Ovis aries: one gene and its partner. The protein of the gene in region 1 purifies or fractionates together with the protein of each later gene. This does not show direct contact. Links are inferred from orthologs where the notes say so. Each region holds a gene or a part of one and is shown in the gene's direction. Other genes may lie near its edges.

What was found. The genes of interacting proteins can lie anywhere in the genome.
Region 2: the proteins of SLC30A4 (region 1) and STX8 purify together in Homo sapiens (co-immunoprecipitation; 3 studies listed by BioGRID and IntAct, with this or other methods). This does not show direct contact. The link is inferred for Ovis aries from reciprocal best matches to the Homo sapiens genes SLC30A4 and STX8.

Annotation. Positions count from the first base shown.
Region 1 is NC_056060.1:63,085,622-63,089,274, forward strand, and holds part of SLC30A4 (probable proton-coupled zinc antiporter SLC30A4), read left to right. Parts: intron 1-2,050; exon of another isoform or gene 2,051-2,198; intron 2,199-2,309; 5' UTR 2,310-2,423; coding exon 2,424-2,814; intron 2,815-3,653. UniProt on the Homo sapiens protein: Probable proton-coupled zinc ion antiporter mediating zinc import from cytoplasm potentially into the endocytic compartment. Controls zinc deposition in milk.
Region 2 is NC_056064.1:28,533,447-28,537,099, reverse strand, and holds part of STX8 (syntaxin-8), read left to right. Parts: intron 1-1,656; coding exon 1,657-1,798; intron 1,799-3,653. UniProt on the Homo sapiens protein: Vesicle trafficking protein that functions in the early secretory pathway, possibly by mediating retrograde transport from cis-Golgi membranes to the ER.

The DNA of each region.
Region 1 (3,653 bases):
TCCTTCTGTTGATAACGACCGAGGTCCCCTGGTTATTAAATACTCTGGGTCTAGGGAACTAGGGGATCGCTAATCCAGTTTTCCTAATCTGACTCCCATGACTGTAGTTCTATAGGAATATCGTGGGCATTCAAAGGTGAGTTGCACCTGAGACATGCAAGATTCTAAAATGTCATCTGGATCTTCAGAGGAAAATGATGTTTATATGACTTTTTATTGTATTTTCTGTAACTTAAAATGTGGTAATTCATATAGATTGTTGTTAAAATACATTTATAAACACTGGATTAATGGGAGTTTGCACTACAATTCAAGTCCAAGTAGAAGCTAGGGTCTTGATCTGTGAGTTCTCCTAACAGTGCTGTTGTTTTAATCTTATTTTAGTCTGAAACTCATTTGAGAATATGATGAAGGCTAACAGACTTACTCAAGAAAATTCATATACCCACAAAATTTTGCATGTAGTTTTAAGGCCTCCAAATCCCCTAAGACTCACCTGGAGAATCGCCAGAGAAGCAGAAGGTGGGGCTTATTGTCATTTCATTTTGTCATTAAAATTAGATCTAAATTAGAAGCTACTAATAAAAACTTAATTCTTTTTAAACCATGTTGTTAAATAGAATCAACAGCCAGTACAGATTCTTTTACAGTAAGTTTGCCACTTACAAACGAATTCCATTCTGGGAGCATGTCTGCAAGTCCAATTTGTTCCAACAAAGTTAGCCTAGGTACCTAACTAACACAATGGGCTCTATAGTACTGTACTGAAATAGGTTTATAATACTTCATAATACTTTTTACACAAATAATGCATAAAAACAAACACAAAAATAAACATTTTTAATCTCATAGTACCTTTAAAAGTACAGTAGTACAGTACAACAGCTGGCATACAGGGGTTGGCACTGAGTGAGGGGTTGGCACTGAGTGAGGAGTTGGCAAGAAGAGTTACTGACTGGAGGGAGAGGAGGTGGGAGCTGATAGTGCTGAAGGATTGTCAGCATCAGGAGATGGAGGGCAAATTTCACTCACACCTGACATTAATGGCACAGGTTCTGATTCCTTGCTGGATTCAAGTCTATCTACATTCTTGAAAAAAAAAAAAAAATCCAGTGATGTCTGGGTAGTACTATATACCAGCTACATCATGGCTGCTTTTAAACTTGCTTCCGGACATCTTGAGCTTAAAATAAAGATACTGTAGCACTATATATAGTATTGTACAGTAAAGTACACAGAAGCACAACCACTTCTAGAGCATGCACATATATGATAATGTATGCCAGACGCGTGAACTAACCTATGTGATTAGACGGCGGGAAAGCATGGAAAGCATGTTCGCATCTTTAAAAGTTCACATCTTTGACCGGTCACAACTTGAAGGTTGGTATGTAGGGGACTCACCGCACTATATATAGTTCCTGTGCTTGGGTTTAGTCCGTACTGTAAATACCTTGGCGGCAAAAGGAACCTGATAGGGAACACACAGATAATACATATTTGCTGATAAACAACAGTAAATATAAAGCAGGACACTGAACTGTTTACGACCACAAGCCTTGCCCTCTCCAAGCTGATCTGACTGTGCAGCAAACTTTGCTAACCTGCCAGACAGGCAGCAACTCTAATGGCAGAAAAGCTGCTCAATTTAGCAAGAAAGGGTTACATTTTCCTGTCGCCAAGCATCCGAAACCAAGATCTCAATCAAAGATTCTCTAGGCCGTCCTTCAGCGGAGCGAACTGCCTGCAGCAACGCCCAACCTCGGGTGGGCGGGACCGTAGAAATCTACCCACTTAGCCCGAGGATTCCAGCTCTCTCCGACCTCGCGGCCTCGAGAAGTGGAGAGCCGGGTGAGGGGCGGGCGACGCGGCGCGCGCCCCTGCCCTGCCCCGCCCCTCGTGTGAGCCTCTGCCCGGCGCGCCAGGCCTGCGTGTCCTCGCGCCCACCCCTCCCTGGCGCGGCTCGTCCGCGGCCGCTCCAGCGCACGCGCGCGGCTTCGCGCAGGGCGGGGAGAGGCGGCGGCCGCGGGCGCCCGGCCCCGAACCTGTCAGACTCGGGAACCCGGCCTGGAGCTGCGGGCGCTGCAGGCTCGAGGACCGCCCCGCTCCTTCGCGGCCCCGGGCCGAGATGCGCGAGCCGGCCCCGCGGAGCCGGCCGGGGCGGGGAGATGAGCGGCGGCCCGGCAGCGGCACCCCAGGTAGAGCGCTGCCCCCTTTCGGAGCTCCGGCGCCCCCCGCCGCCCCGGGCTTCGGAACTTGTGGGCTCTGTCGGGCTGCCTTTAATTTATAATGTGCTTCGTTTCCCACAGAATGAGGAGGGACGCGCCGCAGTGCCACTGGGAACTGGCTTTCGAGTGAAGTAGGAGTCGCCGGCCGCCCGCCTGCACCCAGCCGCTCGGCGCCGCGGCCGCTCAGCCAGTGCTATGGCCGGATCCGGCGTGTGGAAGCGCCTCAAATCAATGCTGCGGAAGGATGATGCGCCGCTGTTCTTAAATGACACCAGCGCCTTTGACTTCTCGGACGAGGTGGTCGACGAGGGGCTTTCTCGGTTTAACAAACTTCGAGTTGTGGTGGCCGACGATGGTTCCGAAGCCCCAGAAAGGCCTGCTAACGGGGCGCACACGGCCCTCCAGGCCGACGATGACTCCTTGCTGGACCAGGACTTACCCTTGGCCAACAGTCAGCTGAGTTTGAAGGCGGACCCCTGTGACAACTGCAGCAAGCAGAGAGAGTTGTTGAAGCAGAGAAAGGTGAAAACCAGATTGACCATTGCTGCCGTTCTTTACTTGCTTTTCATGATTGGAGAGCTTGTAGGTGAGTTGTGTTGCCAACTCACTTCCCACTTACCTTGCCTACTGCTTTGGGGTTTAAACTTGCTTTTTAGGAAGCTTGTTATTTATCAAGATACTGATCTGGTGATGTGCCGAGGCCTCACAAACTGCAGATCAGCCTAGGTACTAAAGTTATCTTTGCAGGCATGGGTGCATTTGGTGACTTTCCAAAGCTAACTTTTGACATTTTCTAGTTCTCTGAACACCATGTCATCTACTGTAAAGTTAAGGACATTTTCTTCATTATATATCATGTAACTTCCTGTTTCAGAAAAAAAAATCTCATAAAACACTAGGTTAATTTTTGCAACGTTTAAAATAGTAAATTATTCTAAAATTACTTAGAAAAATAACATTTTACTATGTGAAGGGACCTTACTGAACACCTGCTCCACCTTTTTTAAGAGTTCTGAGGGCACAGAGGCTAAATAGATTATGAAGACACTTAAGTAAGTGAAGATCTACCATCCCGTTGTCTTGATTTTTTTCCCTCTGCCATTGAATTTAGTGGTTGTTTACTATTTCCTTTTGTATTTATATCCAGGAAATTTGCATAGGTAAATACTACTAACTAACCTCAAAGTTTTTCATTTTAAGGAGGATCTGAAAGTCAGATGTCTTCCCCAGATTTTATGAATTTGGCTTTTTCACTTTTTAATTATTCAAGTAATGCAGTTTTACTATGAAATACATTCTCCATTTAGAGATTAATTTCAGAGTCACATAAGTATAACTGCTAACTTCTCTAAGTGATCATTGATAAAGTGACATTAAAGAAAGGAGACTATTCTCTTGTGTTCTCCTTTTTTATATTTTTCCACA
Region 2 (3,653 bases), on another chromosome or scaffold:
CCACGTGGGCAGGCACCAGCACTCCAGTCACCACCAGGGGCTCATGGCCCAACAGGTTCTCCCTCGAGACAGAGGACTTCTTTGCTGTCTGTCAGCTGAAGGAGAATCAGGCTCCGTAACACAGTCCAGCTTTATATCAGAACAAGGTCTTGGCTATGAACAGAAAGCATCCCTGATTACTTGCGGGGGACTGCCCGTGAAGGGTTAAGTCTTGGGAGCTCCTCAGCATATATGCAGAGCCCTAGGACATGTTCCTAAGCTCCCTGTCCCGCCACCCTCAAGAATTTGTATAGCCCTTAAGACTCCAGGATGTCCAGTTCCTGCAACATGTCCTAGAAGATAGATTATCTTATTATGTATACAATGGTAAGGGTCTGGTGATTCTCTGTACACAACTGGTGATTGTATCCTGAGATTAAAAACAACCTTGTGAATGTCATAAGTCACGTACTTTATCCTATATATACTGCAGTACAATAAAGCAAGGTATCAGCCATTTTGGGCTGATCCTCTCAACCCCATCTTTTGTCTCTCTCTTATTTTTCTTAGCGGGGACGCTCCGTTCTCTCCCTGTGCAGGTGCGACTCTTGCTTGTGCTGGCCGCGGCAATTACTGAAGTACAGAAGAAAGGTGTTAGAAGGATATTGAGTGGTTTGAAAAATCACTCATGGAGAAGGCTGTAGAATCAAACTAGAACGTGGGGAGAAAACCACAGGTGGCTGGGTCATCTCCACAACCCCATCACAGAACCGTCTCATAGGACTTCTTATTGCCATGACTACTGGATGCTCTCCGGGCCCACCATCCGCTAACCCCACTGGTGCTGACCAGCAGAGGCTGTAGCCAGGAGAGGGCTGCCTCTGATGTCCCTAGAGAACCACTGTTGTCTGGCTTTGTGCTGGTGCTTGTGGGGAGGCAGGGGGTTGCCAGTGTTTGGCCCTTCTGGTCTTGCCTCCTACTAAGACTCATATAGCTAAGAATTCCTCCCTTGTTAAAGAGGAAAAAAAGGGTTCAGATGCTGAGCAGCTGAGAAACTAACTTGTTTCCACTTCAGACTTGCAGCTTACATGGGAAAAATGCATTAGGTGCATCCAATTCTTTTGCAACCCTGTGGATAGGGAAGCCTGGCAGGCGGCAGCCGTGTACTATAGCCAGCAGGCTTCTCTGTCCATGGGGTTCTCCAGGCAAGAATACTGGAATGGGTAGCCATTCCATTCTCCAGGGGATCTTCCTGACCCAGGGATCAGACCCCAGTCTCCTGCATTGCAGGCAGATTCTTTACCATCTGAGCCACCAGGGACGCCCACATGAGAGTTGCTTGCCAAAGATGGACGTCTTCTCCAAGACTCATCTCATTTGAGCCACGGAGCATTACCCAAGACGAACTATGTAATTTGTGAGGTCCAGTGAGAAATGAAAATGCAGGGCCCGTTGTTTAGAAATTATTAAGACTGTCATGATGGCGGCAGTGTAAGACTTCTAAGCATGGGACGCTGTGTCACTACTCAGGTGGCTTTTCCGGAACAGGGCCATGGGCTTATAGTTGGGTCCTGGGGCCCTCGCCAGGTCTTGTGAGTGGATTCCAGCAGGTCAGTGTTATTTCACTGTTTCCTGCCCACGATTTGAGGTGTGATTATGATTCCCCCCATTTTACAGATAGGGCAGATGGGGCTGGAGAACAGTGGAGCTGTGTATTCCAAGCTACGTCTTCTGACCCCGAAGCTCCCCTCTGTCTACACCATGTCACATCACGTACCCGGAGCTTACAGAGCAAGAGCTGTGTGATGCTCCCTGGAAGGTACGCTTTTGGGACATCTTCTCCAGAATTGTTAATGTTGTGGGAAAAAGACTCCACCTGCAATGCGTGAGACCTGGGTTCAGTCTCTGGGTTGGGAAGATCCCCTGGAGGAGAGCATGGCAACCTACTTCAGCATTCTTGCCTGGAAAATCCCCATGGACAGAGGAACCTGGCGGGCTACAGTCCATGGGGCTCACAAAGAGTCGGACACGACTGAGCAACTTAGCACACAAGTATGTATGTGTGTGTGTGAGACTGATGCCCTAGGACCTTGAGCAAGTCGTTTACTCAACTTCCCAGGGCTTCAGTTTTCTCATCTATGAAAATCCTTGGCCTTCTGTCATAAGATAGGGTCGATGCCTCTCTGCCCTGCTCACCAGGCAGGCACATCTCATTCTTGGGATCAGCGCACACTCTAGGGCCCACATGCATTCCCTCTCTTCCAGCTCCCCTTCTGCCACTTGCTCTGGCCTTCAGTGTCCCCCTGGGGTTCAACCCCTTGAATGTCCAGCTTGCGCTACCTGCCAGCTTCTACCCATACCACCCCAAGACCCCTTCTGTCTACACGATGTTCCGTATAGGCTTCCTGTGTTCACAGTCCTAATGACCAGGGTATCTTCCTGCTTCCTCTGCCTTCTCCTTTCTCTCCGGTGTTTATGTGTGTGTCCTTTCCCCCTCCTGGTTCCCAGAGAGCCCACCTCGGGCGGTGCCTTCTACAGAGCCGGGTCTATTAACCCCACCTGGCTTATTGATGTCTCTGGACTGTCTGATGTCTCTTGACTGTCTCTTTCTCCTTTTCTGTTTTTTTCCTACCCTTTTGTCAATTCTCTTGACACTATGTGAGATTAAGGCATTTTTAAAAATAAAATTTATTATATTTCTAAAACACAAGATTATTTGATGTATTTTTAATTTAAAAAATCATAGCTCTCAAACAAAATAGAGCTTTCTTTAAAAAGCTATTATTATGAATTTGTTTTTATTGTTATGTAGTCTTTAACTGATTATTTTTTCCCCTTAAAGATTTTTTTTTTTTTTTACTTTAAACCCAGGGAAGGAGAAATTTCCAAAGGTTATTAGTTCATTAGCTGTTAGAAGGAATAATTGATCTGTCAACTCAAAGGATTTATAAGGATTTGGCTCACAGGATTCATGAAAGCAGTGGCATACGTTTAAGTTCTGCCTCAAAAGAAAACATTTCAGAAGGGGCTTCTCTTACTTTCCTGGAGATAAAAATTAGCATCTCTGTAGTGATGAAAGGCCCCCAATTTTTTTTTTAAGAGTCTATCTTAAGGCGCTACAGCTGCGGCATGTGCACCCATACCTGAGATAATTGGATGCATATTTCAACCTAAAGGATGGATTATAAATAAATATTATAAAGTTTTGAGTTTCTTCTACTGTTTTTTTTTTTTTTTAACCCCTACTAAAAGGAATGGAACACAACTAACATTTCTTCAACCCCAAATGGGGTTTTGCTTTTGTTTTTTTTTTTTAAGCAAATGCACCCAAATTGGGTTTGGTTCACAAAGGAGAGCCTGACTGCAGAGCTAACAGACCCATCATTAGCCACCCCTGCCCTCTCAAATGGCCTGTCCATTCCCCTGCTCACAATATGGGCGAAGGCCGTAAACAAGGGATCCCAGAGCGCTCCGGACAAGAAACATACAATGGAGTGGGATAAATTTCGTTAGCATAAATAGCAGTCTCCAAGGGTGACTGGTGTGAATGGATTCCCGCTGTGAGGGTCTCTGTGCCTACGGAGGAGATCTGTGGCTTTAAGAGCTGTGGTCCCACCCCCTGGGCTGTGGAAGTGCTCAGCCGCCCCCGCTGGGCTTGGTCCGAAGGCCCCCTG